Linked DNA regions of Elephas maximus indicus. The protein of the gene in region 2 purifies or fractionates together with the protein of the main gene of each other region. This does not show direct contact. Links are inferred from orthologs where the notes say so. Each region holds a gene or a part of one and is shown on either strand. Other genes may lie near its edges.

Evidence for each region. Proteins that work in one complex are often made in the same cells at the same time.
Region 1: the proteins of CSNK2B (region 2) and KAT6A purify together in Homo sapiens (affinity purification with mass spectrometry; 3 studies listed by BioGRID and IntAct, with this or other methods). This does not show direct contact. The link is inferred for Elephas maximus indicus from reciprocal best matches to the Homo sapiens genes CSNK2B and KAT6A.
Region 3: the proteins of CSNK2B (region 2) and CCNL1 purify together in Homo sapiens (co-immunoprecipitation; 3 studies listed by BioGRID and IntAct, with this or other methods). This does not show direct contact. The link is inferred for Elephas maximus indicus from reciprocal best matches to the Homo sapiens genes CSNK2B and CCNL1.

Annotation. Positions count from the first base shown.
Region 1 is NC_064840.1:58,392,803-58,402,701, forward strand, and holds the start of KAT6A (histone acetyltransferase KAT6A), read left to right. Parts: upstream 1-5,599; 5' UTR 5,600-5,694; intron 5,695-8,325; 5' UTR 8,326-8,649; coding exon 8,650-9,249; intron 9,250-9,899. UniProt on the Homo sapiens protein: Histone acetyltransferase that acetylates lysine residues in histone H3 and histone H4 (in vitro). Component of the MOZ/MORF complex which has a histone H3 acetyltransferase activity. May act as a transcriptional coactivator for RUNX1 and RUNX2.
Region 2 is NC_064819.1:93,193,279-93,203,076, forward strand, and holds the start of CSNK2B (casein kinase II subunit beta), read left to right. Parts: upstream 1-5,473; 5' UTR 5,474-5,592; intron 5,593-5,771; exon of another isoform or gene 5,772-5,963; intron 5,964-6,408; 5' UTR 6,409-6,419; coding exon 6,420-6,491; intron 6,492-7,180; coding exon 7,181-7,283; intron 7,284-7,857; coding exon 7,858-7,973; intron 7,974-8,401; coding exon 8,402-8,501; intron 8,502-8,641; coding exon 8,642-8,831; intron 8,832-9,624; coding exon 9,625-9,715; 3' UTR 9,716-9,798. Other genes in the region: GPANK1 (G patch domain and ankyrin repeat-containing protein 1), read right to left, coding at 1,810-2,254, 3,025-3,659. UniProt on the Homo sapiens protein: Regulatory subunit of casein kinase II/CK2.
Region 3 is NC_064841.1:3,472,470-3,481,608, forward strand, and holds the start of CCNL1 (cyclin-L1), read left to right. Parts: upstream 1-4,839; 5' UTR 4,840-4,913; coding exon 4,914-5,210; intron 5,211-6,040; coding exon 6,041-6,115; intron 6,116-6,592; coding exon 6,593-6,702; intron 6,703-9,139. Other genes in the region: collagen alpha-2(I) chain-like, read left to right, coding at 2,138-2,818, 2,893-2,938, 2,975-3,992. UniProt on the Homo sapiens protein: Involved in pre-mRNA splicing. Functions in association with cyclin-dependent kinases (CDKs). Inhibited by the CDK-specific inhibitor CDKN1A/p21. May play a role in the regulation of RNA polymerase II (pol II).

The sequences.
Region 1 (9,899 bases), on a different chromosome or scaffold from region 2:
GAAACCACAAGCAGAGCTAAGATGACACCACAGTACCTCCTTTCCTTGGGGCAATTCTGGCCATAAGACAAGAGCCTAAGTTTTGGGACAGAGTCCAAAAAGAGGCCTCAAGGGGCAAAAATACCAGCAGAAAATTTGGCAGTTAAGCATGGTTGGAGAGGACAAAACTTAAAGACCAGGGGGGCCAGATTTCCAGTAAAAAAGGAAAGGTGAATAACTGAGCTGAATACTCTGCCTGTTTCCCTCAAGTCACTTGTCAAATTCTGAAGAACCCTGAGACAGAAGGTTAGAAAGCCAAATAGAAAGCCTCTGAAAAGTGGAATGGAGTTTTTGGCAGTCCCACAGTGCTGGCGGAAACAAGGATTAGAATTCAGTATCCACTAGGGCGAGAGGCCAAGGGAATACACACATTCTCAGTTGGAATTCCTGGAGGGATGTACTGTAGGAGCAGCAGCAAAACAGAGGTGGACTAAGCCTTGCCAAAAGTCAATCTCAAATTAGCTCATTCTTTGATTGACTAAGGTGATTAGTCCTCATTCTAACTGCTTTGCAAAGGAAAGAGTGAACCATCTCTGGATAGAGAAAATATTATCTAGAGCCTCTATAATTTTTCATACTTAATATATGGCATTCCCTCAAAAATTACCAGGCAAACCAAGAGGGGGTGGGGTGGGGGCTGAGTCCAAAATCAATGGGAGGAATATACAGTACAAATAGATCCTCAGGAGATCAAGATTTTGTAATTATCAGAAACGGGTTTAAAATAGCCAGGATTGATACATCCAAGAAAATAGAGGGAAAGGTGGAGAAAACAAAAAGATGGAGAATTTCACCAATGAATGGGTTTTATTTTTAAAGAATCATATAAAAATTCTAAAACTTAAAAAATACAATGAGGTGAAATGAAGAACACAATAAATGGGCTTAAGAGTAGATTATACAGAAGAACAGAAAATATACAAGCTCATGCTCAAAGAAGAAAAAAAAAGAGAAAAATGATAGGATATACAGGTAGTGAACAATGAAAAATTCTGAAATATGTACACTTCAATTCCTAAAAGGAAAAGAGATAAGAAAAGGTAATGACTGTATTCCTTGGGGTTGCTGTAATAAAATACAAGCCGGGTAGCTTACAAGAACAGAAATGTATTGCCTCACAGTTCTAGAGACTAGTTGTCCAGAATTCAGGGTGTCAGCAGGATCATGTTCTCTCTGAAGGTTCTAGGGAAAGATCTTTTCTTGTTTTTCACAGCTTCTAGTTTTTTTTTTTTAGTAGCCCCAGACATTCCTTGGCTTGTAGATGCATATTTACATGGCTATCCTCCTAGGTTTGTCTCTCTATATCTCTAAAGGGTCAAACTTAATTTTAATAGCTTTTGAAAATTCTATAAATTTCTAGGGTTTCTTCTCTTCTTTTGTAAGGAGTCACTCGGATTGGATTAGAGCCCAACCTACTCCAATATGCCCTCATGTTAACTTAACCGATAACATCTCCAAAGATCCTATTTCCAAACAAGGTCAAATCCAGAGGTACCATGAGTTAGGCCTTCAACATAAATTTCTGGAGGACACAACTCAATCCATAACGGTGACCAAGAATTTTCCAAAACAGATAAAAGATGTGAAGCTACAAAAATTCAAGGAACTCCATGAATGGACACCACCCCAGTCATGAACCCAAGCGGGATAAATTAAAAGAAAACTACATCTAGACACATCATAGTAAAACTGTTGAAAACTAAAGACAAAGAAAAAAAAAGTTAAAATCATCCAGAGGTGGACAAAAATACAAGCAAGAACACAGACAGATACTTGTACACCAATGTTCATGGCAGCACTATTCAGAATAGCCAAAAGGTGGAAACAGTCTAAATGCCCGTCAACAGATGAATGGATAAATAAAATGTGGTACATGTAAAAAAAAAAAAAATTTTTTTTTACATGCATACAATAGACTACTATTCAGCCATATAGAGAAATGAAGTCCTGATAAATGCTACAACATGGTTGAACCTTGTTGTATGGTTTGAAAATATGCTGAATGAAATAAGTCAGTCACAAAAGACAAATATATGATCCCATTTATATGAAATATCTCGAATAGGCGAGTATATAGAAACCAAAGTTTATTAGGGGCTACTGAGGGGCGATGGGAGAGAGGGGAAGAGGGAGCTCATTATTTAGGGGACACTGAGCTTTTGTTAAGGGTGATGGAGAAATTTGGAAGTGAATAATGACAATGGTTGAACAACATGAGAAATGCAACTAACGTCAATGAATTGTGCATGTTGAAAGTGTTAAAATGGCAAATGTTTTGCTACATATATATTTACCACACACACACACACAGAGACACACAAAACCCAGCAAAACTAGAAAAAGGCATTATTTTGCACTCTAAAAGTTCATGGTCTAAAAATTAACTATTAATGTGTACTTTAACATACAAAGGAGGGCAGGTTTAAAAAAATGTGGAATAGTATAAATGAATTATGATTAATAATATGTTAAATTGCTACTACCTTTTTTTTTTATAGTATCTAAATACGCTATGTGTATTTACAGTTCCAAAAAAAAAAGAAGGCCTGAAAGAAGAGAAAAAGAGATACAAAATAAGTGGCCATGTAGAAAATAAATAGTAAGATGGCAAGTATAAATACAAATATAAATCCTCAAAAAAAACCATTGCCATTGAGTTGATTCTGACTCGTAGTGACCCTACAGGAAAGTAGAACTGCCTTATAGGGTTTCAAAGGAGCAATTGGTGGATTTGAACTGCCAACCGTTTGGTTAGCAGCCGTGGCTCTTAACCACTTTGCCACCAGGGCTCCTAAATACAAATATATATTAAAAAAATACAAATAAAAAAAACCAAATATAGCAGTAACTATATTAACTGCAGGAGTGCAGTGGTTAAGAGCTCAGCTGCTAACCAAAAGGTCTGCAGTGCGAATTCACCAGCCCCTTCCTGGAAACCCTATTGGGCACTTGTACTCTATCCTATAGGGTTGCTTTGAGTCGGAATCGACTCCATGGAATGGATTTTTTTTTTTTTTTTATATTAACTGTAAATGTGCTAAAAAACTTCCTGCTGAAACTAGGACAGAGAAACCTAGGCTGAGCTGTACTCTGCATAAAATGTAGTTATCAGCTGCAACCCAAAAGGCAGCTTTTCCTTGGGCAAAATGTGGAAGCGGGAAGCTTTAGCTGCCAGCCCTACAGGGCTGAATTCTTAGTGAAGGCTGAGCTAAGCAAACCGTCATTTCAGAGCAGTAAATCGTTATCTAACTTGCAGAAGGTGAGGACTTTAATCTGTTTTTATTGCAAACCTTGTACTTTGAGAAGACCCCCTGAATGTGTCATTTAGTTATGCAAATGTAAAGCAAAGACTCTCTATGGAAGCTGTTTGAAAAGCTAAACTGTGCTTTGTTGTTGCAAATTGTTTTAAAATCTTGCTACTGTGAGTTTAAAAACTCTTTTCAGAGGGATAGCTGTGGCTAGTTTTCTTTCAAATTATCCAAAAGCAAACACAGCTCATCCCTATCATTTGTCTTCTGAAAACCATAGACTTTAGTCTCATATGAAGAACACTTTTTCTTATACTAATGCCACTTCATCTGTCTTCTTTGGGAAACAAAAACCTTGTCTTATTTTCCTAAAAGAAAATTTGTCTCCTCTCACCACCCCCCCCGCCCCCGTGTCTGTTTCTGTTTTTATAAAGAGCTCCCATTTTACCTGAGAATACTTCTGCCTGATTCATCTAGGATGGAAGGCATCCTTTCTAATAGATTTTTTTGTACCTCCACCACCACCCACACCACCCATTGCCATCGAGTCTCCCCTAATCTGGGGATGGGGCTTGGAAGTAGGTGATGAACCGTGCTGACTCAGTAAGTCTCAGCACACCACATTTGTTGTCAATGTTAATGTTGAAATGTTGCCTTGGCTGGACCATCATCTGAAAATATAATACTTTTTATTCTCTAGACGGTCTATCGTGTGGAATAATAAGGCTAGGGATTAAAATGAAGAAGGTTTATAGAGACAGGAAAGTATGGGTTGGGGTATAAACAAAGGCAGGACCCGAGGTAGGTGAAGTTTCCACGTCAGAGGCTTAAAAAAATGTTCATTCATTAGCAACTTTTTTTTTAAGCTCCTACTCTTGTACAACAAGCATACTGGGCACTGGAGATACAAAGAGTCACCCTAAAAAAGCATTTATCTGGGGCTATATTCATAAAACATAGATAAAGACTCACACCCTGAGTGACAAATGAATAGGGCAAATGGTCAATACCACAGAAGTTCAGACCAGAAAGTAAATACCAAAGTTAAGGCAGTAAGTCAGACGGTGGTCTTTAAAAGGTAAGGGTGAGATAAAATGAGGTGTGGAAACACCTAAACAGGAGGCACAAGGTAGATAAATGCCCACTAACAAGAATACATTTCCACACAAAATTGTTAAGCATTTACTCTGTCCTCTCATTTGTCATTTATTGTCTTTCCAGTGAATGCAGGAAAGAAAAAAAAAAGTATGACTGAATCTCTGCCTCAAGGAGTTTAAGTCTACATGCGAGACAAGACAAAGAAACACACATGCAGCTAGTAGAGGACAGACTTGCCATAAAAAGTGCTAGATCGTGGTTCAGCCCTAAATGCAGCCAGCAGTGATTCTGCACAGGGCAGGAATACAACACAGGCTTTGGAATACGACAGATTTAGGCTCCAAACTCAGGTGTCTGCTACGTACTACCTGCATGACCTTGGGCAAGTTACACGACCCGAGTTTGCGCTGTTTTCTATAATAATGGCTCTGCTAGGGTCTAATAAACTCTCAGTTGTTGTGGGGAGTATGAAATGAAGTCATTGTGGTGAAAGGGCTTGACACGGGTGTCTGAGTTTCTATCTACTGTCCTCCCCCACGCTTTTCCCTTCTCTTCGCATCTGCTCGCCTGCCTACCAGTAGGGGTGAGATGTCTGGGGTGAGCAGAAAGGGAAAGATGAAGGGAGGCAACTTCCTCATTTTCCTCCCCTCCCCCGACCTCAGGTTCCGGGAGAGTCACTGTGGAAGTGGGTGAGGGCACAGAAGAGGGGAGGGAGGCTCTGCTAACTGTAAACACAAACGCCACCAAGAGTTCCGATCTCATCTGGCTACCGGATTTCCGTGCTATACTGAAGCCACCCTACCCATGCCCCTGCTCTCAGTTTCCCCAGCTGTGTAATGGGAGTACATCGTCGTCTTCTTTTCTGCCGTAGACGCCCGGCCTAAACGCGTGAGAAAGGCGAGAAGAAGCCCCCAGTTGCTGGCCTCCGGCCCCACCAAGTCCTCCTCCCACTTTGGCTTTGGCCTTTTGTACCGGCCCCACGTGACCCGCCAGGCCGGCTCTTCCCTCCTGCCCCGCCCCGCCCTCCGGCCTTTCCCGGCTCCAGGCCTAGCTCTTCCCGCTCCGCGACCGCCCCCCTCCCGCGCGCCCCTTTCCTCCCCCTCCCCCCGCCTCCTCCCAGGCTGTTCCCGCTCCCTCCCCCAGGCAGCCGTTCCCTCGCGACGCTTCCCCTCCCCCCGCGGCTGTTCCGCCGCCACGCCTCCCCTCCCCCCGGCCGGAGCTCACTGTCTCCAAGATGGCGGCCGTGTCAGTTTGGGGCATCTCCGCGGTCCGGCCCGGCGCCCCGGGAACCCGGCTCTCTTCTCGCCCGGTAAGTAGCCGAGGGGCCACCCCCGGCTGCCCTCGGCCACCGAGCCCGAGGCTGAGCCGCTCCGGGACCCGCTCCACCGCCTCACGGGGTCGGCGGGCCGCTGCAGGCCCCGCCGCGGCCTGCGCCGCCTCCTGCTGCTCTGCGCCAGGCCTCGGGCTGGGGCGCCGCGGCCGCCCCCTCGCGCCCAGCCGGCGCCCGGCTTCCTCCGCCCCGGTGGCCCGCGCGCTCGCCGGCCCGGAGCTCCCGCCTCCCGCCGGCCGTGCCCAGCCTGGGGAGCCGGCGGGTGGGCGGGCGGGCGGGCGGCGAACGGCCCAGGCCTCGGAGCCTCGGAGCCTCGGGGCCTCGGGGCCTCGGGCTGGGCTGCGCCGGGAGCCGGCTCTCCCCCGGGGCGCGCCCACCGCCCGGCCCCACCTGCGCCCGCCCGGTCGCCGGCCGCCGGCCGCCCGGCCCTGCCCCTCTCCCCGCGCCGCCTGGCGCGGGCCCTCTGGGCTCCGGCCGGGGGCGCCGAGGGGCGAGCGGGGCTGCGGCGGCCGGTGGGGGTGACAGGCTGGCGGGTGTTGTGGTGCGGAGGAGGCAGCACGTGTGGTGTTGTGTCTGTCGGGCTGTCAGCCCGGGCTGGGAGGGAGGCGGCGGGCGCCTGTCAAGCTTCGGCCGGCGCGGACGGGAGCTGCCCGAGCTGTCAGGCTCCGGGGAGCCTCGGCGCCCCGCACGCCTCCTTGGAACCGGCCCCGGTGGGGCTGAGTGTTCGGAGGAGCTGGGAAGGGGAGACCCATTGCGCTTAACTCTTTCACGTGATTTCATTGTTAACTTATTCCTTGGGTTCTGTGCTCCCCAAGTGGGAGCGGCGAAGCAACCCATTGGCAGACTACAGGGCTGTGCCGTTTCAAGTTTTTAAAGTTTCTCGCTCTTTAAAAAGAGAGCGCGAAGATGTGTTTGGGGGTGGGGAATGGGGAGGGAGGAAGAAGTCGGAAGCAAGTTGCGATTTCTCTGCAGCCGCTTGTGTACTTTCCGAGAGTTAAGGTTCAAGTCTGCAGGCTCTTTATTTTCTGAAGACCTGGACGCTGATGGAAATCTCGGCCGGAGAGACAATGACTGTCATTCATTCTTTTACCTGCGAGATTAATCAGTTAGAATGTTCCCAGCTTAAACTCAGGCTGTAGCTCCCCATTTAGTTTAGCGTTAGTGTCTACATAATGAACTTTCTGGGAGTATTTCTATGATTTTTATCCTCTTGAGACCCTCACCATAAATGAGGCATAGCTTTCCCGGGGGCCTTCTTTTTAGTTAGCTGATTTTGAAATAAATCTTGCCTCGGGTTTGAGTGCTCGCTTCACCCTTTTTTTTTCCGCTCCGAGTTAACAGTACTCTCTCTTTTCTGATCCCTATTAGTTTTCCTTTGGATTTTAATGTCACTCTTAAGAAAAGTTACTGTGGAAGCCATTTTTCTAGCATTGTGTACATTGTAATGTGATTGCTACCTGAGAATAAGAGAAGTTGTATTAAAAAAAGCTGAAGTAAAAAGTTTAGTTTTTTTGAGGCAAAGAAGTCATTTAGATTTAGAATTTGTTATTTTGGTGAATTTTTTTTTTTCTTATTTGTATCTGCCAGATTCTTGTGTGGGAAAGAAGTTTCATTTTGATCCTAGAGGGGCAATTCTTGTTTATGTTTTATGCGTTAATGTTCAGTACAGGACAGCAGTCTAGCAATCTTGAATTCAGATCTCTGTGAGATCCGACTCCTCTTTAACCCACAACTACTGTGTGTGTGTATGTATATAGTACCGTTCACGTGTATATTCTGTACGTTGACATGTAATATGTATATTTGACTCCAGTGACCCTGGGTCTTTCTCACTTCCACTTTATCTGTAGATTGTTTATGAATGACTTGACAGTTGTTACTCCTTTCAGTATATGGATATTAGTATCTTAGTTTGGGTTAGGAGGAACTATAAGCATGTAATTCTTAAGAGTTTGAATGAAATTGGATTATTTTAAACTTCTTTAAGCACTTTTTCACACTCGGCCCTTTTCAGTGTTATTTTTGTTCCCATTTGGAATGTTTCAAGTAGTAGTGTACTTAAAATATGAGCTTGGTCTGTAAATTAGAATTGTTTCTTTTAATATATGAAATAGTTAAAATTTTCTCAGTGGTTGTCTGCCTATCTTATTGTTTTTATCCAGTCTGAATGTCTGGAATTTTGAAAGATGAAAGATTTACTTTCATTGCAGGATTCTTTCTACTAATCCAGTTATTTGTTGAAGTGTGCTGGATAGTTACTTCTTGGGGAAAGATGTCAAGGAGGAGTTGCAGTTCATAGACTGGTGAGCAGAGATTGGGAGCACAGAATAGCGAGCACGCTCCTGGTTAGTTGTAGCCTAAGGTCATTCATAGAACATCTCATCTTGTGTCCTAATTACTCATCTTTTTTTTTTTTCTTCTTTCTGTTTTACCCCAGTGACTTACATACATGTTTGTTTTGGGGTGTTGATAGAAATGTCTTAAACTCCTACAGGTGTTCAGGAAACACTTGTTACTTACTTAGTTTAAAAAAGAATAGAATATTTCAGTTACAGCTTATTTTCAGTGGGCTTGATGTGGAAAACTGACCTTGTTTTAATTGCTTTACAGGCATGAGATGCACGTTTTTCTAATGTGAAGCTGGGAATGAGATGTTCTTGAGTCTTTACAACTTTCTGAAGAGACCCATGTGTGGTGCTATAAAGAAATTTATTGGGAAGTGTGATGATATTTCAAATAACAGGTTGTTTTGGTTTCTAAAATAAAATTGGAAAGCGTTCTACTTTGCGAAAGGAGAAAAGACTCAGGCCAGAAAACTTGTATGCTATGGTTAACTGGTTCCCAGCCTCCGAGAATCTTGTTTTCCATGGTGTGAAACTTACTCAGCATCAGGATAAGGGATAACGACTCTATGGATATACAGAATCCTTCACCATGGTAAAACTCGCTAACCCGCTGTACACGGAGTGGATTTTAGAGGCCATCAAAAAAGTGAAGAAGCAGAAACAGCGTCCTTCAGAGGAAAGGATATGCAATGCAGTATCTTCATCCCATGGCTTGGATCGTAAAACTGTTCTAGAACAATTGGAGTTGAGTGTTAAGGATGGAACAATTTTAAAGGTCTCTAATAAAGGACTCAATTCCTATAAAGATCCTGATAATCCTGGGCGAATAGCACTTCCTAAACCTCGAAACCATGGGAAATTGGATAATAAACAAAATGTGGATTGGAATAAACTGATCAAACGTGCAGTTGAGGGCTTGGCAGAGTCCGGTGGCTCAACTTTGAAAAGCATTGAACGTTTTTTGAAAGGTCAGAAGGATGTGTCTGCGTTATTTGGAGGCAGTGCTGCCTCTGGCTTTCACCAGCAGTTACGATTGGCTATCAAACGTGCCATTGGCCATGGCAGACTCCTTAAAGATGGACCTCTTTATCGGCTCAACACTAAAGCAACCAATGTGGATGGGAAAGAGAGTTGTGAGTCTCTTTCTTGTTTACCTCCTGTGTCACTCCTTCCACATGAAAAAGATAAGGTAAGAACGGTATATGCATCAGAGTTCATAGAGCTGATGATATAGGATGCTTCAAGCTCACGTTCCTGGGAAGTTTTGTGTTTGGGAACTTTTTGTGTAGCAATCAATGCTGGTTTTTTATTTTTGAGTTCTGGATGTGAGAAATTAATAGATGGTGATTGTTTCTGATACTTTGAAATATTTCATACCTAAGATTCAATGTGTTGGATATTAATCTAGCTAAAAGAACATTTAGATTAGAATTAGAAAGAAACATACATTAGAACTTTTGAGTTAAAGTTTTTATAATACCTTAGTGGCTGGAAGTTAATGAGCGGCTGAACACTGGAAACTTGAATTTGAAACAAGCAGCTGACTAAGAATTGTATTTCTTTCTTTCTATCCGTTTTGTTGCAGGTGATCATTAGAGGAATCAGACTGGTTCTCATGACCAATTGTAGTAGCCAAATAAACTTAGTTATTTTTATTTCTACTATTTGTGTTCTAGGTTTGCGTATATATGATGAAGTCCTAAACGTTACTGTTGCTGACAGCTGTAGTTACATGGGTCAGGAGTACATGGTAATCTTGTATTAGTAAATTCTGGAGAGTTGGGAGTAACGATGCACAGGCGGTGTGCCTTAAAGCTTTGCTTCATGTTTTTGCTGTAA
Region 2 (9,798 bases):
AGACAATTCTACTCCATCCTACAGGGTCACAATGAGTTGAGATCAATTGGATGGCAGTGGGTTTGGGCTTAAAGTTTAGAGTTAGGAAGGGCAGAGTCCTGATGGCAGCTCAACTAATGTACAAGCTGCATTGTCATTAACTCTGGGCCTGTCATCATACTGGACTCTTCCTGCAAGACCTGACCCACTATCATCACCTCCTCTCTGAACCTTCCCTGACCAGCCCTAGCCACCCCCCACCAAGTATTATAATATCTGACCTCAGGGCTATCTCCCCCTCCAGCTGTGAGCTCCTTCAGTGTTGGGAATGTCTCTCTTAGCACACTGTATATGAATATTTGTGAAATCAGTGACTGAACTGACTGGAGTGGTCAGAAGATCTGCATGGAGCTGCAAGTTGTTCCTGGTTCAGAAGAATAGGTGTGGTACTATTGGCAGGGGCTAGGCCTCGAAGAATGGGAATTCCAAAACGCTTAATTGTGCTCACGAGGAACCTGTACGTAGATCAAGAGGCAGTCGTCCGAACAGAACAAGGGGATATTGCTTGGTTTAAAGTCAGAAAAACTGTGCGTCAGGGTTTATCCTTTCACCATACCTGTTCAATCTGTACGTTGAGCAGATAATCTGGGAGGCTGGACTGTATGAAGAAGAATGGAGCATCAGAACTGGAGGAAGACACATTAACCTGCGTTATGCAGAAGACACAACCTTGCTTGCTGAAGGTAAAGAGGTCTTGAAGCACTTACTGATGAAGATCAAAGACCACAGCCTTCAGTATGGATTACTCTTCAACATAAAACAAAAATTCTCACAACTGGACCAATAAGCAACATTATGATAAACGGAGAAAAGATTGAAGTTGTCAAGGATTTCATTTTACTTGGATCCACAATCAACAGCCATGGAAGCAGCAGTCAAGAAATCAAGAGACACATTGCATTGGGCAAATCTGCTGTAAAAGACCTCCTTAAAGTGCTGAAAAGCAAAGATGTCACCTTGAAGACTAAGGTGCACCTGACCCAAACCATGGTATTTTAAATCGTATTTTATGTATGTGAAAGCTGGACAATGAATAATGAAGACCAAAGAAGAATTGACACCTTTGAATTATGCTCTTGGTGAAGAACGTTGAATATACCATTGACTACCAAAAGAAAGAACAAATCTGTCTTGGAAAAAGTACAACCAGAATGCTCCTTAGAAGCTAGGATGGTGAAACTGCATCTTACATACTTTGGACATGTTGTCAGGAAGGATCAGTCCCTGAAGAAGGGCATCGTGCTTGGTAGAGTACAGGGTCAGCGAAAAAGAGGAAGACCCTCCAGGAGATGGAGTGACACAGTTGCTGCAACAATGGGCTTAAGCATAACAATTGTGAGCATGGTGAAGGACCAGGTAGTGTTTCGTTCTGTAGTACACAGGATCACTATGAGTTGGAACCGACTTGACGGCACCTAAGAACAACAACAGGCCTCCAAAAGAACCAGATTGGTAGGGAGATGACTCTATCATGCCATCTGGAGGTAGCTGCTCCTGTGGCTCCAATTGGCCATGCTAATGTGGCCCCCAGACTTCAGTTTGGCTTCCCCCACAACAGCTTCCAGAAAAATGAACAGATTAGGAAAGAGAATGAAGATTGATTTATTTCTCAACTCTCAGCCCTTCTCTCCCAAAAGGCAGGGAGGGCCCAGTGACCAAAACCTGAGGGTCTGGGACCTGGGCAGACCTCTGGGAGTACAGGCTAAAGTACCCAAGTCATGGGCCAAAGTTCAGACTCTGGCAGCAGACCAGGGTCAAACCTCACCAAGGTCAGAATTCAAGGTTCATGTACATCCTGAGATCCCGCTCCCAAGCCCTGCTCTTCTCCTCTCGCCTTCTCTCCTCTTTCCGGCTCAGTGTGGTCACCCGAGGCGCTCGCTCCCGCCCAGCCACAGCCCGGGTATCCAAAGCCTGGAAGTGTGTGACCCGGGGCTGGGGTGCTGATCTGTAGCCAAGACCCTCCTGGTCCCTCTTAAGGACAGTGGGGATAGGGTTGGTGCGACCCTCACCTCGGGGTCCAAGCCCCATCCCTGGCTCCCAGCCTCCCCTCAGCAGCAACCTGAAGCCTGGGCTGGAGGCAGGCACCCCAGGGGGAAGACTAGGGGGGCAGGGACCCTGGGACAGTGACAGCAGGTGGGCGGTGGATGTGCAGTGGTTGGCATCTTGGAAGTAGGCGTCACAGGTCTCGCAATAGTGGGAGGCGCGAGATTGGGGCCTGCAGAGGAAGAAGAGAAGGAGTTGAGGGAGGGGGTTATGGGTCAGGAGAAGGGTACAGAAGCTTCAGGGGTGCTGGCAGGGTGGGACAAGGTCTTTTCAGCCCTTCTGCTAAGGAACAAATTGCTTTCCTCCCCACTTAGCAATGAGAAACCCAGAGGGGAATGGCTGGGAGAAGAAATGGTAACTAGGCCTCACAAGACTTTTGGAGGAAGGAATAATAATGATTACAATTAATATTTATATAGTACTTACCATGTAGCAAAGGAGCCCCTGGGTGAGGCTAATGGCTACGCACTCCACTACTAACCAAAAGGATGGCAGTTGAAATCCACCCAGGAAGACAGGCCTGGCAATCTACTTCCAAAAGGTCAAAGTCTTGAAAACCTTATGAAGCATTCTACTCTGTACACATGGGGTCACCGTGAATTAGAATTGACTCAATGGCAACTAACAACTACATGGCAAGCACTGCTCTAGTAGTTTGCACGTATTAGCCCATTTAATCTTAACCCTACGAGAAAGGTACTATTATTACCCACCATCTCTCAGATAAGGAAACTGAGACACATAGCATTTAGGTTGTTTGCCCAAGTAAGTGGAGTTAGGATTCAAACCAATGGAGCTCATGTCTGTAACCATGCTACTACATTGCCTTATCAACCTACATGGGGCAGGGGGACCCTCAGCTCTGTTCTGGGGCCTCTGGTGCAGAGTGAGTAAGAAGAGCAGAACACTTTGAAATATGTGCATGGGCTAAGACTTTCTCACCGGTTCTCAGGGCTCCTCGTCTCTCCATGGCTCTCCCTGACCATGCGGGCCACCTCGGGGAAGCCGGCTTCTTCCGCCAGCTGGGCAGCATCCCGGCCACCCAGCTCACAAACTCCCACCCAGGCAGCCCCTCGGCCCAGGAGATAGCTCACAGCTGCCCCCTGGCCAGCTCGGGCAGCACACATCAGGGGAGTCCACCAGAAGGCATCACGGGTATTGATATTCCCCCCAGCTCCTCCTGTCTCACTGGGTTCCAGCAGCCTTCGAAGTTCTGCCAGGTCCCCCTCCTGAGCTGCCCTCAGTATCCACTGGGTTAGCTTGTCCTCTGCCTCAAGGGATCCCTCTTGTCCATGTACCCCTGATGCTGCCTCTGCCACTGCCATTGCTTCTGCCGCAGCCTCCCTCATCAGTCTTCTTTTCTTCCTCTTTTTCTCCCTGGCAGGCTCAGGGTGCGATCTTTGGGGTTCAGGAAAGCTGCTCTCGCTCTCTATCAGTGACTCGTAGAAAGCACGGACTGCAGACCCATCCAAGGCGGGTTCTGGCTCCTCAGGCTGTGGCTGCTGCTGCTGCCCATCTTTCCAGAGGTCACTAGAATCGCTGGCTGGGGTGAAGGTGATGAGGGACGGCCTGGACATGGCTTTTGTGAGAGCTGAGAAAATGAGGCTGGGCAAGGGAAGGCTGAGAAAAGCAAGCCAACTGCCCAAAAGCCCCTGTAGTGCCGAGATCCACCTCCAGGAAGCTGCCGAAAGGAAGAAAAGTAGCCTTAGAATCCAAGATCCCCTCCTGCCCCAAAAGTGACCCCACAATCTAAGGCCCGGCAGGGCCTAAGCGCCTAAGGACCGACTCATAGCGACCCTACAGGAGGACAGAGTAGAACTGCCCCACAGGGTTTCCACGCAGCGGCTGGTGAATGCCAATCGCCGACATTTTGGTTAGCAGCCAAGCTCGTAACCACTGCGCCACCAGGGCTCCAAGGGTTATAGGTCACATGTAAAAACAGGAAACCCTACAATAACCTGCTCCTTGCTAAATGTCAACAAAGAAAATTCCATGAGAGAGTTGCTCAGAGGGCCTATGTCCCGCCCTGCCACCCCGCTCTCATATAAAAGTAATGAGAGCCTCTCTCTGAACCGACTTTTCCACACCAAATGACATACGTTTAAGATAAAAAAAAACCGGCCTGGCCCTTTAAATCTTCCTGCTCCTATTTCGGGGTTCCGTCTTTCAAACAAAAACAGTCTCGGCACTTCTCCGGAAGCAGATTTCGGCAAGAGGCTCCGCCTGCATTGCTTTGTGGCTTCCGTACGGCAGAATGGCGCTACTCTAATCAAAAGATACGCTACAATCAAATAGCCACAAGACAAGACAACGCATGCGTGGCAGGAAAAAAAAAAAAAAAAGCCATGATTACATCAGAGCGCAGGCGTGAAGCGCCGGGTTCAGTTTCCCGCCCTGGAGTCTTTCCAATAGTCAATCTGCAAAGGGTCGCGTGCCTCGGCGGCGCGAGGACCTAAGAAGATCTGTCGGTTGGGGTCCTGCTTTTACATAACGCCCCACAATGCCCTCCACCTCCCTCGAGGTGACCCTCCGCTCCGAGCTCATTTTCTGGAGCCGGGAAACCATTCCCTGACTTAGGAAAGGCACTGAGGAGGGAAATCTGCAATGCCAAGAAGCTGTGACATGAAATAACGTCACCCTGCCCCTCACCATTACTCTGACCAAGGTTCGAAGGTTACACTTTGAGCCCGCAGTCGAAGGTCCTATTCAAGGCCTAAGAGGATATGGAAAAGTGCAAGGGGACAAGCGCCAGGATGGCTGGTGCCACCTCAGGTTAGCGCACTGGGCCGTCCCGGTTCTCACATCGCTCAGCCCAGCCCAGCCCAGCCCAGTCCAGCCCACCTAGGTCTCTCAGCACGGAGCATTTTCTTTCTCAGGAGGCCGGGGCTCTGGGTGAAACGTGGGCCCTATGGAGAAGGGGAAGCCCCAGGAATAGGCCTGACTGGGGCAAGGGACCTAACAGGCAAGAAAGACGCGACGGCCTGGACGAGACTAGGAATAAACAGGACTAGACTCCAGGGCGGAGGCGCTTAGCCAGGACTTGAGTATCAAGCAGTGAGGAGAGAGGCAGGGAGAGACTTCAGCCTGGCGCGCTGATTTCCCCGCCCCCACTCGGCCCCTCAGTCCTAGGAGCAAAACTCTGTATTTCCCAGGCTCTGGCCCCGAATGCGGCATTTGTTTTCCGCTTCCGGTGGCGCCTCGCTGCGCCCCGCCCTCGAGCGTCTTCCTCGCGGGCCCAGCGAACCAGAGTCGTGTGCGGGTCATCCTGGGATTCGTAGTTAGCTTTTCCCTCGTTTCGCCAGTTTGTCCCTACCGGGGACTCTATTTCCCGGCGTCCACCGCGGTGCCGGACCTTTGGCGCTTGCGCGTTGCTCTTTTCCCCACCCTCCCCAATTTCCACTCCCCCCACCGCGCGTCGCCTGCCGCGGTCGGGTCCACGGCCTTCGTTGTAGCTGTCGCTTGGAAGCAGCAACTCCCCTCCCCGCCCCACTCCCGGCCCCTGTCCAGCAGGTTAGTCTGAGGTCCTCGCCGCGCCGAGCCTTCTTCTTCGTTGGCGCTGCACATGGGGTCTCTGCGCCTCGATGTGGGGGCGGGGAAGGAAGTGACCCGGTCCGGCATTGAGGGAGGGAGGGAGGGAGGGGTGTCCTGGGGGGCGGCTGCGGTATGTGCGGGCTCCTGTGGAAGGGATCTGACAGTCACCCGCAGGCCGTCAGAAAAGGAGGGGCCGGGCTCTTTCCCGGGAAGGATAAACTTCGGGACCTTTGGGAAAGGCTCCGGAAACTTGCAGAGCCCTACTGTGGTAGGGAGCCGGAGTCGAGGACCCTGCTGGAGTTGACACGGAAGGGAGAGGGGCCCGGCTTGCGGGAGAGCCAGGGATGCGGGTAGGACTGGTGGGTCACATCTCTTGGTTTCTTGCAAGTGGACTGCACAGGATTTCTAACTGCAGAGAAAAGGGGCTGAGGTGTAAATAAAAGGAGTTGGAGAGGGGTGCTCCGGAGTCTGGGAGTCTTTAAGAAACCCCGTTAAAAAACCCCGTTGACATCGAGTCAGTTCTGACTACTGAAGACTTTATAGGACAGAGGAGAACTGTTCCATAGGGCTTCCAAGGAACAGCTGGTGGATTCAAACTGCCACCTTTTGGTTAGCAGTAGCAGCTCTCCATAGTTCTTAACCACTCCAGCACCAGGGCTCTCCTTTAAGAAAGGCTGACCCCAAGGTTCTTCTGTGGTTGGAAGGTGAAGTGTGGGAGGAGGGAGGATACTAGAGACAGAGGGAGGGAGGGAAAGCTCTGGGTCACCGGCTTTACTTACACCCTTATTTTTCAAGCTGACGTAAAGATGAGCAGTTCAGAGGAGGTGTCCTGGATTTCCTGGTTCTGTGGGCTCCGTGGCAATGAGTTCTTCTGTGAAGTGAGTTCTCCTCAGTCTCCCTGCTTGCCAGCGCAGCTCCACACAGACTCTGACCCCAGGCGTTCCCACACATATTCAGCCTTCTTATAATTTTTTCCGATGCTTCCATGGAAACTCCCTCTTGTCAAGGAAGTGTCCCCTCAGTACCTCCCATTAACCTGTAGTGAAGCGGCAAGACTGGTGCTCAAGTCCCAAGCCTTCCATCTTCCGACAGGAAGATGTCGAGAAGGTCAATCCATGTCTTTGTTATCACTAGAATAGTACTGATAGTACCTGTCTCAGGTGGCTGTTACGAGAATTGAAATACTACCTGTTAAAATGTTTGGTAATGTGTAAAGTTCTCTGTTAACGTAAGGGATTGTAACCTTCAGAATCTGAGCTGTCAGTCTCCACCTTCCTCAGAGAGCCAGCTATCCTTAAAGAGAGAACAAAACTGGTTCCTAGAGATGGGGTGCAGGAGTACGGATAGGGAACTTGAAAAGAATGTCTATCTGAGGAGACATCCTTAGAAAAGAAAGGCCAGGGCTTTTAGGAGAGGGAGTGTGTGAGTACCTCTTTTGAGTTTGGGGTGGGGGATGACGGGAACAGAAGCAGTTGTGTTGAGAACAAGGCATCAGTTAGAGCAACATGTCTGTGCCAAAGCCTGGAGTTTCTTTGTGGTTTCCTTCTTCACTTCCACATCCTGACAGGTGGATGAAGACTACATCCAAGACAAGTTCAACCTCACAGGGCTCAATGAGCAGGTACCCCACTATCGACAAGCCCTTGACATGATCTTGGACCTGGAGCCTGGTGAGGCACTTTCAGGGTTGTTGTTTTGTTTTGATTTTTCCTCCTCTCAAAATCCCAATTCCCCTGTTTCTTGAATTTCTAAATTTTCTTTTGGCTCTTTGTCTCCTTTATCCCAAAATCTCTTCCTTCACTTTGATTCTCCACCTGGCTCTTGCCTGGTTTAGTGACATCTGCCATCTGTTCCTGTGCTCACTGATTCTGTAATTCGGCTTTATTCCATAATGCCACTTTCCCCAAGTGTCTTGTTTTCTGCCTGTTTCTTCTGCCCTGCACCTTCCAGTCTAGAGTTCCACCTTCTGCGTTGACATCTTTGCATTTATGTATTGAGAAGCGAGGTAGGGGTAGAGAAGAGAACGGAGGCTGAAGAGGTGTGGAGGGAAGGCAGAGCTGCCCTGGGTTGGTGGAAGGGGTCAGAAACCTAGGTTTACGGGTTGAATGTCCAGGTGATGGGTGGGGTGAGACTCAGAGATAGGTGGTGGGCAAATTGAGTAGCCAGCAGCCACTGGGAGTGAGTGGAGCACCCTCAGGAAGGCTGAATGGCAAGTGGTTGCATTTGGGCCGGGCCATGTTTCAGATGAAGAGTTGGAAGACAACCCCAACCAGAGTGACCTGATTGAGCAGGCAGCTGAGATGCTGTATGGATTGATCCACGCCCGCTACATCCTCACCAACCGTGGCATCGCCCAGATGGTGAGGACTCTACTCCCACTTGACTCCTTTTGAGGCAATAAGGGAAACAGGTTCCAGCAGCAAGAAGTCATACATTTCAACTTTGCCAGGGAGTCTAGCTGAGAAGAGGGGAAGAAGCCCAGAATCTGGGCCTGGGAGTTGAGTCCTGATTTCGGGGCATGTTGTGGGAGGCTGTTTTCAGGAGGGAGACATGACCCTGAATGGGAAGTTCTTGCAGACTATCTCTTTCTTGGGGAACAAACAGTGAATGACTCTGGTTTGCAGCCTGCCTGACTGGAGGAAAGGAGGCAGCAGAGTCTGAGGGTCTGTCTGGGCTAGGGAAGGGGCCTCTGGACAGAGGTGGAAGGATTAGGGGCACAGTGATATAGGTTGGGCTGAGGGGGGAGTTAGCACTATGTGGGTTGCATCATTTCACACCTGTCTACCAGTCTTCGCCATTTTATTTACCTCAGTTGGAAAAATACCAGCAAGGAGACTTTGGCTACTGTCCCCGTGTGTACTGTGAGAACCAGCCAATGCTCCCCATTGGTGAGTATTGGATAGTGGTAGATGACATATGGCAGGTGCCCTGGGAATGTGTTGGGACTTAGCAAGTCGGGGCCCAAGTCCTGGGTGAAAGTTGTGCAGGTTAGAAGGTGCCCAGTCGGCTGAGTCTGGCTGTCTCGCAGGCCTGTCGGATATCCCAGGCGAGGCCATGGTGAAGCTCTACTGCCCCAAGTGCATGGATGTGTACACACCCAAGTCATCGAGGCATCACCACACGGATGGCGCCTACTTCGGCACCGGCTTCCCTCACATGCTCTTCATGGTGCACCCCGAGTACCGGCCCAAGCGGCCCGCCAACCAGTTTGTGCCCAGGTGGGGAGCAAGGACAGAGCTACCAAGGATCAAAGAAAAGACCCAAGGTCCCCTGGAGATAAGGGAAGGCAGGGCATCCCCTTTTTTGAGGTCTGGTTCCCCCAGGCCAGGGCTTCTTTTTGCTGAGTACCCTTGGGCAAATTATTTAATTGCCTTATGCTTGTTTTATTTTTTATGAAATGGGGATGATGGCAGTGTTATCCTGATAGGGTGACTTTGAACAGGTAAATTGCTTAGAACAGTGTTTGGAGCTTAAAATATTTAAACTTTAGTTATTGCCATCACCGGAGTGTCTGGGTGGCGTGAGTGCTTAAGCACTTACCTAACCAAAAGGTTGGCAGTTCAAACCAACACAGAGATGCCTCAGAAGAAAGACCTAGCAATCTATTTCCAAAAGGCCACTGCCATTGAAAACCCTGTGGAGCAGTTCTGCTCTGCACACCTTGAGTCACCATGGAATCAACTCAATGGCACCTAATTTGATTTTTGGTTATTATTACCACTGTCTTGGGTGTTCAGCCTTTTACCAGATTAATAAATATGATTCATCTTTTTGGGGCATCAATTTAAGTCTGTCTATGAAAAAGAGAAGTTCAGTTTTACCTTGAAACAAGAACTGATATAGAATTTGAGTTTTAATTGATGTTTAACATACATTTCCAAGTATTCTTGAGTAAAGAGTTTTGGGAACTACTGCCCTTAAGCTTTGAGGAAGCCCACGGAGGCAGAGGGGTGGGGAGGCAGGAATGTAACCCACTCATCCCACTACCTCTCTGATCTCTCCCCGGCCCAGGCTCTATGGTTTCAAGATCCACCCGATGGCCTACCAGCTGCAGCTCCAAGCTGCCAGCAACTTCAAGAGCCCGGTCAAGACGATTCGCTGATTCCTTAGCCTACCTGTTCCTCAGTCTTTTACACCCCTGTTCCTTTGCTGCCACCCTTTCAGGAATCCTCTGTGGTTTTTAGT
Region 3 (9,139 bases), on a different chromosome or scaffold from region 2:
TTCCACTACAGGATTTACCTGGAATTTGACTCTGAAAAAGATAGGATAGAATCATATAAATACACACACACACATGCATATATATAATTTAAATCCATGTCCTTAGACAACTTTGTGGACCAGAACCACTAACCCCACTGCTCTCCAGCCTCCAGATAGTCATGGATTTTTAAAAAAGTAATCTGGCAGTTTAACTAACTGCTGATAAGGAAATGCTTCTATAAAGTGCTGGAGGCAGGCCTAGTAAAGCATCCACACCTACTGGATATTATTAGGGGGTAAGTCAGTGGGAAGTGACAGCAGTTGTGGAATTGCTCTGGTAGTTCTGTTCTTCTGTAACTGACTGCCAGATCCCGGGAGGGGCAGGGCCCTGGGAAGCAATGTTAGGAGTAGAGAGGTAACCTGCTGGAGAAAAGAGATCCCCTCTACTCCTCCCTTCCATGTTTGTTAACTTTTTTGGCTTTATCAAGAACCTGTTGTTGTTAGTTGCCCTCAAGTGGATTCTGACTCGGCGACCCCAAGTGTGCTCCCTAGGGTTTTCAAGGTTGTGACCTTTTAGAAGCAGATCCTCAGGCCTGTCTCCTGAGGTGTGTCTAGATATATTCAAACCATCAACCTTTTGAATGTTTAACTGTTTACATCACCCAGGGACTCCACAGTCAGGGACCTGGAGAGTAAAAATATAAAAGATATCAATACCTCACCAGTCAGTCTATTGGAGAAGCATGCTGGAAGACCCCTTAAAAGGAGAAAGCTTTCCATTAAGAAATATTCTTTGAAGAACACCAAAGACACAAGGTAATAATGGGCTCAAGAGACAGAAATGGCCATAGAAACCAGAGACTACATCAGCCTTAGACCAGAAGAACTAGATGGTGCCCGGCTACAACCAATGACTGCCCTGACGGGGAACACAACAGAGAACCCCTGAGGGAGCAGGAAAGCAGTGGGATGCAGACCCCAAATTCTCATAAAAAGACCAGACTTAATGATCTGACTGAGTCTACAAGGACCCAGAGATCATGGTCCCCAGACCTTATGTTAGCCCAAAACAGGAACCATTCCCAAAGCTAAGGTTTCAGACAGGGATTGGGCTGGACTATGGGATAGAAAATGTTACTGGTGAAGAGTGAGCTTCTTGGCTCAAGTAGACACGTGAGACTACGTGGGCAGCTCCTGTCTGGAGGGGAGATGAGAGGGCAGAGGGGGTCAGAAGCTGGCTGAATGGACCCGAAAATAGAGAGTGGAGAGAAGGAGTGTGCCCTCTCATTACAGGGAGAGCAACTAGGAGTATATAGTAAGGTGTATAAAAATTTTTGTATGAGAGACTGACTTGATTTGTAAACTCTCACTTAAAGAACAATAAAAAAGTTTTTTAAAAAAGCTTACAAATAAATTATATTACTCTTAAATCACTACAAATATAACTGGTGATTTCACTGATGCCAAATACTTCAGTGAAACACATTATCGATCAGTTTTTTCTTTATACTTTGAGATAATTTAAGAGTCACAGTAAGTATCAAAAATAGCAGCGTTCCCTTGTACTATTAACCCAGCTTTCCCAAGTGATATTTTACATAACCATGGTAGATCAACAAAACCAGGGAACTGGCACACTAGACATTAGTTTTTAAATAAACTGAGGATACCTGAAAAGTTTGTTACAGTATTTTAAATATTTCACCTGAGCACTGGGGAGAGAAGTTTCCGTGGAAGCGGCCAGGATGGAAAGGTGGAGGAGGTTATGTTCAAGAAGGTGAAGTGTTTAGCCAGTACCAGAATTACACTGTCTTGGGAAAGCGTTTCTCAATATATTCAGTCTTAAAACTGGCTATGTAAGAGAAAGGTAATGACACTTCTCGTCCCTCGTCTCAGGGCTTCGAGCAGGGGATAAAAACCTGGTAGGAGTGAAATGTGATGCACTCTCAAGGCCTTACCTTCCAACTCTAGATTACAGTTGTTCAGACCAGTACATTGTTTTTCCTTTGTGTTTGAGAAAAATGTGGGCATTTCTAGCTACAATCACAGAGAAAAAAAGTGAGTGAGCTTCAGGTCATCCATTCAGGCTAATCGCTGTAACCAGAATCGAATTACCACTGTAAAGTTCTCGGCCTAAGGCTATTTTTAGCGACAGGATTTCCCAGTTTACTAAAAGCTGTGCAAAAGCTGCCCGTGGCCGGGCCTGCGTTTCGCAAGCGGAGCTGGAATGGAGAGCAGACGCATTCCCGGGGTCCCCAGGCGTCACTTCCAGTCCGGGAACCACAGGCTTCTGGGGGTGATACTCCCAGTCCGGGAGCCACAGGCTTCTGGGGCCTTCACTCCCACTCCGGGAGCCACAGGCTTCTCGGGGGCGTCACTCCCACTCCGGGAGCCGCAGGCTTCTCGGGGCCTTCACTCCCAGTCCGGGAGCCACAGGCTTCTCGGGGGCGTCACTCCCACTCTGGGAGCCGGCCTTCACTCCCACTCCAGGAGCCACAGGCTCCTGGGGCCTTCACTCCCAACCTGGGAGCCACAGACTTCTGGGGCCTTCACTCCCACTCCGGGAGCCACAGGCTTCTCGGGGCCTTCACTCCCACTCCGGGAGCCACAGGCTTCTGGGGCCTTCACTCCCACTCCGGGAGCCACAGGCTTCTCGGGGGCGTCACTCCCACTCCGGGAGCCACAGGCTTCTGGGGGCGTCACTCCCAGTCCGGGAGCCACAGGCTTCTCGGGGGCGTCACTCCCACTCCGGGAGCCACAGGCTTCTGGGGGCGTCACTCCCAGTCCGGGAGCCACAGACTTCTCGGGGGCGTCACTCCCAGTCCGGGAGCCACAGGCTTCTGGGGCCTTCACCCCCACTCCGGGAGCCACAGGCTTCTCGGGCCTTCACCCCCACTCCGGGAGCCACAGGCTTCTCCGGGGCGTCACTCCCACTCCGGGAGCCACAGGCTTCTCGGGCCTTCACCCCCACTCCGGGAGCCACAGGCTTCTCGGGCCTTCACTCCCACTCCGGGAGCCACAGGCTTCTCGGGGGCGTCACTCCCACTCCGGGAGCCACAGACTTCTGGGGCCTTCACTCCCACTCCGGGAGCCACAGGCTTCTCGGGGGCGTCACTCCCACTCCGGGAGCCACAGGCTTCTCGGGGGCGTCACTCCCACTCCGGGAGCCACAGGCTCCTGGGGCCTTCACTCCCACTCCGGGAGCCGCAGGCTTCTGGGGGCGTCACTCCCACTCCGGGAGCCACAGGCTTCTCGGGGGCGTCACTCCCACTCCGGGAGCCACAGGCTTCTCGGGGGCGTCACTCCCACTCCGGGAGCCACAGGCTTCTCGGGGGCGTCACTCCCACTCCGGGAGCCACAGGCTTCTCGGGGGCGTCACTCCCACTCCGGGAGCCACAGGCTTCTCGGGGGCGTCACTCCCACTCCGGGAGCCACAGGCTTCTCGGGGGCGTCACTCCCACTCCGGGAGCCACAGGCTTCTGGGGACGTCACTCCCACTCCGGGAGCCACAGGCTTCTGGGGACGTCACTCCCACTCCGGGATCCGGGCTTCTCGGGGGCGTCACTCCCACTCCGGGATGCGGGCTTCTTGGGGGCGTCACTCCGACTGTGGGATCCAGGCTTCTCGGGGGCCTTCACTCCCACTCCGGGATCCGGGCTTCTCGGGGGCCTTCACTCCCACTCCGGGATCCGGGCTTCTCGGGGGCGTCACTCCCACTCCGGGATCCGGGCTTCTCGGGGGCGTCACTCCCACTCCGGGATCCGGGCTTCTCGGGGGCCTTCACTCCCACTCCGGGATCCGGGCTTCTCGGGGGCCTTCACTCCCACTCCGGGATCCGGGCTTCTCGGGGGGCGTCACTCCAACTGTGGGATCCGGGCTTCTCGGGGGCGTCACTCCCACTCCGGGATCCGGGCCTCTCGGGGCGCCCTTGGGAGCCCGTGGGGTTCACCTTCCCCTTTGCCGAGAACAGGGACGCAGAGCGGACCCGCGCAGACTCTGGGGTGCCGTGACCTCCCAGCTCCCACCCAGGGCGGCAGGGTTTCCAGCTCCACCCGCACAGGCTGCTGGCTGGGACGTCAGGCCGCGGCCGGCGACAGTCGCCAAGGTCCCCTGGCAGGTGCCAGGTCCCGCGCGCGGTGGGGACGGGCCGGGGAGGCGAGAGCCAGCCGGGGTGAGGGGCGCGTGTGCCACGGGGTTTCTGAAGCCGCCGCTGCAGGCCTTTGAGGAAGGTCTGCGAACCCTAACTAGGGAGCCCTGGGGGCGCAGTGCTTAAAGCTCAGCTGCGACCCAAAGGTCGGCAGTTCGAATCCGCCGGCCGCTCCTAGAAAACCCTATGGGGCCGTTCCACTGTGTCCTATAGGGTGGAATCCACTGGGCCGCAGTGGGCCGTGGGCTGACTGGAGGACGCGGTGTCATGGCGAGCTCATTGTTTCTGTGACTGGACCTGGGGCCTGGTTTAACGAGAGAGTCTCCTTGGCCTCCCCGGGCCCCGCGTCCCCCCGAGAGACCAGGCTGCGCCCCAGGCGCGCCCCGCAGCCCCACCCCCACCCCGGCGCGCGGAGGCCCCGCCCAGAAGGCCCCGCCCAGAAGGCCCGAACCAGGAGGCCCCGCCCAGAAGGCCCGAACCAGGAGGCCCCGCCCAGGGAGACCCCGCCCAGGGAGGCCCCGCGTGCCCCCGAGAGACCCGGCTGCAGCACAGGCGCGCCCCGCAGCCCCACCCCGACCCCGGCGCGCGGAGGCCCCGCCCAGAGAGGCCCCGCCCAGGGACTAGCTGGCGCGCGTCGGCGTGCGTGCTGACGTCAGGGCGGAAGCGCACGCTGCGTGAAGCGCCCGCGCGCGGAGGCGGCCGGGATATCCGTCGCGCCGAGAACGCTGGTTAGTCTCGCTCTGGGTTCCGGCTGCGTTGGGCGTGCGTGCAGCTCGCGGAGATTATGGCGTCCGGGCCTCACCCGACCGCGGCCGCCGCCGCCTCGTCGGTCGCCCCGAGCGCGGGCGGCTCCGGCTGCGGGGCGGCGGCCACGACGGCGACGGCGACCAGGGGCATCCTGATCGGCGACCGCCTGTACTCGGAGGTGTCGCTGACCATCGACCACTCGCTGATCCCGGAGGAGCGGCTCTCGCCTACGCCGTCCATGCAGGACGGGCTCGACCTGCCCAGCGAGACGGACCTGCGCATCCTGGGCTGCGAGCTCATCCAGGCCGCCGGCATCCTCCTCCGGCTGCCGCAGGTGCGTGCGCCGCGGGGCTCGGCCGGCGCTGGTCCCGCCGGGGTGGGAGGCGGAGGGCCGGTGTCGGAGGCCCGGTGTCGGAAGGCCGGGCGGACCGGGGCCGGTATCGGAGGTGGAGGGCCAGGGTCGGAGGCGGAGGGCCGGGCGGACCGGGGTCGGAGGGCCGGTGTCGGAGGCGGAGGGCCGGGCGGACCGGGGTCGGAGGACCGGTGTCGGAGGCGGAGGGCCGGGCGGGCCGGGACTGGGGCCGGTGTCAGAGGCCCGGTGTCGGAGGGCCGGGCGGACCGGGGCCGGGGTCGGAGGCGGAGGGCCGGGAAGACCGGGATCGGGGTCGGAGGGCCGGTGTCGGAGGTGGAGGGCCGGGCGGACCGGGGCCGGTGTCGGAGGCGGAGGGCCGGGCGGACTGGGGTCGGAGGGCCGGTGTCGGAGGCGGAGGGCCGGGACTGGGGCCGGTGTCGGAGGCGGAGGGCCGGGACTGGGGCCGGTGTCGGAGGCGGAAGGCCGGGCGGGCCGGGGCCGGGGCCGGTGTCGGAGGCGGAGGGTCGGGCGGGCCGGGACCGGGGCCGGTGTCGGAGGCGGAGGGCCGGGCGGGCCGGGACCGGGGCCGGTGTCGGAGGCGGAGGGCCGGTGTCGGAGGTGGAGGGCCGGGCGGGCCGGGACCGGGGCCGGTGTCGGAGGCGGAGGGCCGGGCAGACCGGGGTCGGGGGGCCGGTGTCGGAGGCGGAGGGCCGGGAGGGCGGCTCGCAGGCGGAGGCGGGCGTACAAGATGGCGGCCAGCCCGGAGCCGGCCCGCCTGACCCCGCGCCTCCCTTCTCGTGTCTCGTCTGCAGGTGGCGATGGCAACGGGGCAGGTGTTGTTCCATCGGTTTTTCTACTCCAAGTCGTTCGTCAAACACAGTTTCGAGGTGAGCGGCGCGGGGGCGGCGAGACGGGGATTTCTTCATCCGGAAGGGGGGGTGGTGTCGGCAGCCTGCTCTCCCCGGCGAGGACGGGGCTCCCCCGGGCCTCGGTGCCCCGCTGCCCCGGCCGGGAAGTGGGGACCTCCGGAATGTGTCCTAGAAAGGGAGCGGTGCAGTCTGAGCCCGGGTGCCCTCCTTATCAAGGGTTAGGGTGTTCAACCAAGTGCCGCAAACTCCCGGGGGATCGAGGTTGGCTGTGGATCCAAAGTTAGGAGTTGAGCAACAAAACGACAGCATAGGGCTGGTGACCGAGAAGCTTCTCTCGGGCTTTTATCGCGCCGAAGGCTGCCCCAGTTGTGTTCTAAAGTTTCATCAGAATAAGTTTGTTACACTTTTGGCGAGACGCTTTTCTCTTTCCCAACTTTAGTTGATAGTCCTGTCATTTTAACAATTGTTACTGATCCGGTTTTTTTTTTTTTCCAGATTGTTGCCATGGCGTGTATTAATCTTGCATCAAAAATCGAAGAAGCACCTAGAAGAATAAGAGATGTGATTAATGTATTTCACCACCTACGCCAGTTAAGAGGAAAAAGGTAAGATTGGCAATATCGATTATGTTCTCTTCTGCTACTTCTGTACTGTGTACCGATTATCAGGTCAAGACATCTTTCCTGTTCAAGCGAATGTGATGCACAGAAAAACTCACTTTAACTTAGGTGTTCTGATCCACCTGGGAGCACACGGGTGTTTAAGGAAACTTGGGGAAGCTGTGACTGACCAGTTACCTAGAGCTCGTAGAGGCAGTTGTGGAGGTTGCTAGGAGCGCTGTGAAGCCAGGCTGTGATTTAAGATTGAACAAGAAAGAGAATGAGGATGCATTGGGCTCCAGTGGGAGTGTATTCTCTTTTTCCCCCACTTTCTCTCTGGAAGACTAAAGGTTGGTAGTTTAAACAACGTAGTTCAAGTTAATCTTTTGGCAAAGTTCTGCGTAGATTGATTTTCTGTTCCAAGTCCCAGTTAATTCTTTGTCAATTGAGGTTGGTTTTTGTTAGAACACTTCTCAACATTGAACTACGATATATCGAATAATACCGGATCTGAAAGGACTGCAGGATGGTAAAATTTGAAGTTTGAAGTCAAAGGGATTAAACAGGTATTTTATACTGGTCAGATAAAGACTTGGGGAGTCGGTTAGAAAAATAACTCTTAAGTTTGATTGGATTGCATTATTAGGGGCCCACTTAGTCCATCTTGTAAGAAAACAAATGGAAACGGTGTTTTCTCGTAGGTGTGTTGTAACTACATGGTAACACTGGACCTATGTGTTGATGTGAGAGAAAACCACTTACAAAGTGTCAGTTGCAGGTCTTTTTGCATCTGCAAGAGATTTCTGGTACACACTGGAGAAGGATCTACTTGGTGTAGATTACAGATTAGTTGTGTTCCCTTTAGGGAGTCATGGTGATAGACAAACTTGTGCTGAGTTTGGAAGGAAATTAGTTGTAAGATGATAATAAGTTGTGTTGGGGGTTGGGTGTAGCTTAGTGCCGAATCAGTATTCCACACTGATGGTACTACTCTTGGCCGAATCTTTGAAGTTGTCAGTAATGGAATTACTCAGAGGCAGCCAAATGTTACAATGTCCTTATGATGATTTAGTTCAGTCAAAAAGTCTGAAATGTCGCTCTGCAGATATTTCAAATGGTGTGTTTTTTTTTTTTTGGTTTTCTTACATTTTTCCCCTACCCTGTCTTTTCCCATTCACCCTGTTCTTACCCAGAGACAGAATAACTTTTTAATTTCGTTTTTAAATATCTTTTAGCTTCTTGTTGAGGAATCCCTGGAAATTGGGAAGATTTCAATTTGGTATTTAGTATGACCTGAGCTTATGTTTGTACTTAGCGATCTAGCTGATTGTTGAGGATGTATGAAACAGAATGACACTGTCTAATAGAAAAGGTTCTGTATCTTTAGTTCAAAGCTTTTTTTTGAAAGAAATAGTTTCTGGTGGTATTCTTTGAACCTGTTGAGCCAACCAGTATGTAGTTATATGATTATTGTCTTTGGAACTTTCTCTGTGAGACTTAGAATTTTCTTCCTTGATGTCACATTAGGTCTTCATAACTGTAAAAACCATGGAATTTAAAGTATCACATCTGACTGCTGCGTCTGATGTCACAGTGCTTTTTTTGGCATTTTTACAGAGAAATTTGTTTTGCCTCAATCTTAGAAGTGTGATTATAGCATGAAATTTAAAAGGAGTTGTTAATTGCATGGAAGCTTTTAAAAAATGAAAAACAAAAACAGGATATAGAAGCGTTTCTATGCATTTTACAAGTTAACTCAGACATATAACTTGTATACGTTATTAACTTCAACTCTTTTTTCCCTTGCAACCGACTATACAGCGACCAGCTACATTTACCAAAGCCTGGGTGATGTGGAGTGGTACATAGAGATGAAGCTGTCGTCATGGCAACAGTGAGTGAAGTATCGAAAATCCCCAAGGAGAAGCCAGTGCTCTGAGAATAGGTCACTGGAATCGGGGACTAACAGGTTGGCCACTGGTGAACCATTTAGAAAAACTCCTGTTTCTTGTTATAAGCTTTTGTCTTTGCTGTCCAAGTTATTAGAACTGTACCTTAGTATTTTTGACGAGGTTAATGTCATTAGAAAGTACTGTGTATGTTATATTTAAGTTAGGTAAACTGTATTGGTCTGTCTTAAAGATGCAGTTTTTTTTTTTAATCTAGTTTATACACAACTTTAAATTGTAATACAATTTATTTATGAAGAAACGTCATTTATGTAGCATTAGGTCAGTGGTTTTCAGTCCTGGCTGCAGAGTAGAATGACTGGGGGAGCTTTGAAAACTGTGCCAATGCCCAGGCCCCATCCTGGGTTATTTGGCTTCCCCCTCCCCTCAGCTTTTTGTAGTTTGCCTCAGAATGTGCATGGCTGAACTTAAAGAGGAAGAGTGCTTTTTCATAGCAGTACTTTGAAATTGTAATTTGCCTTTGATAGTAACTT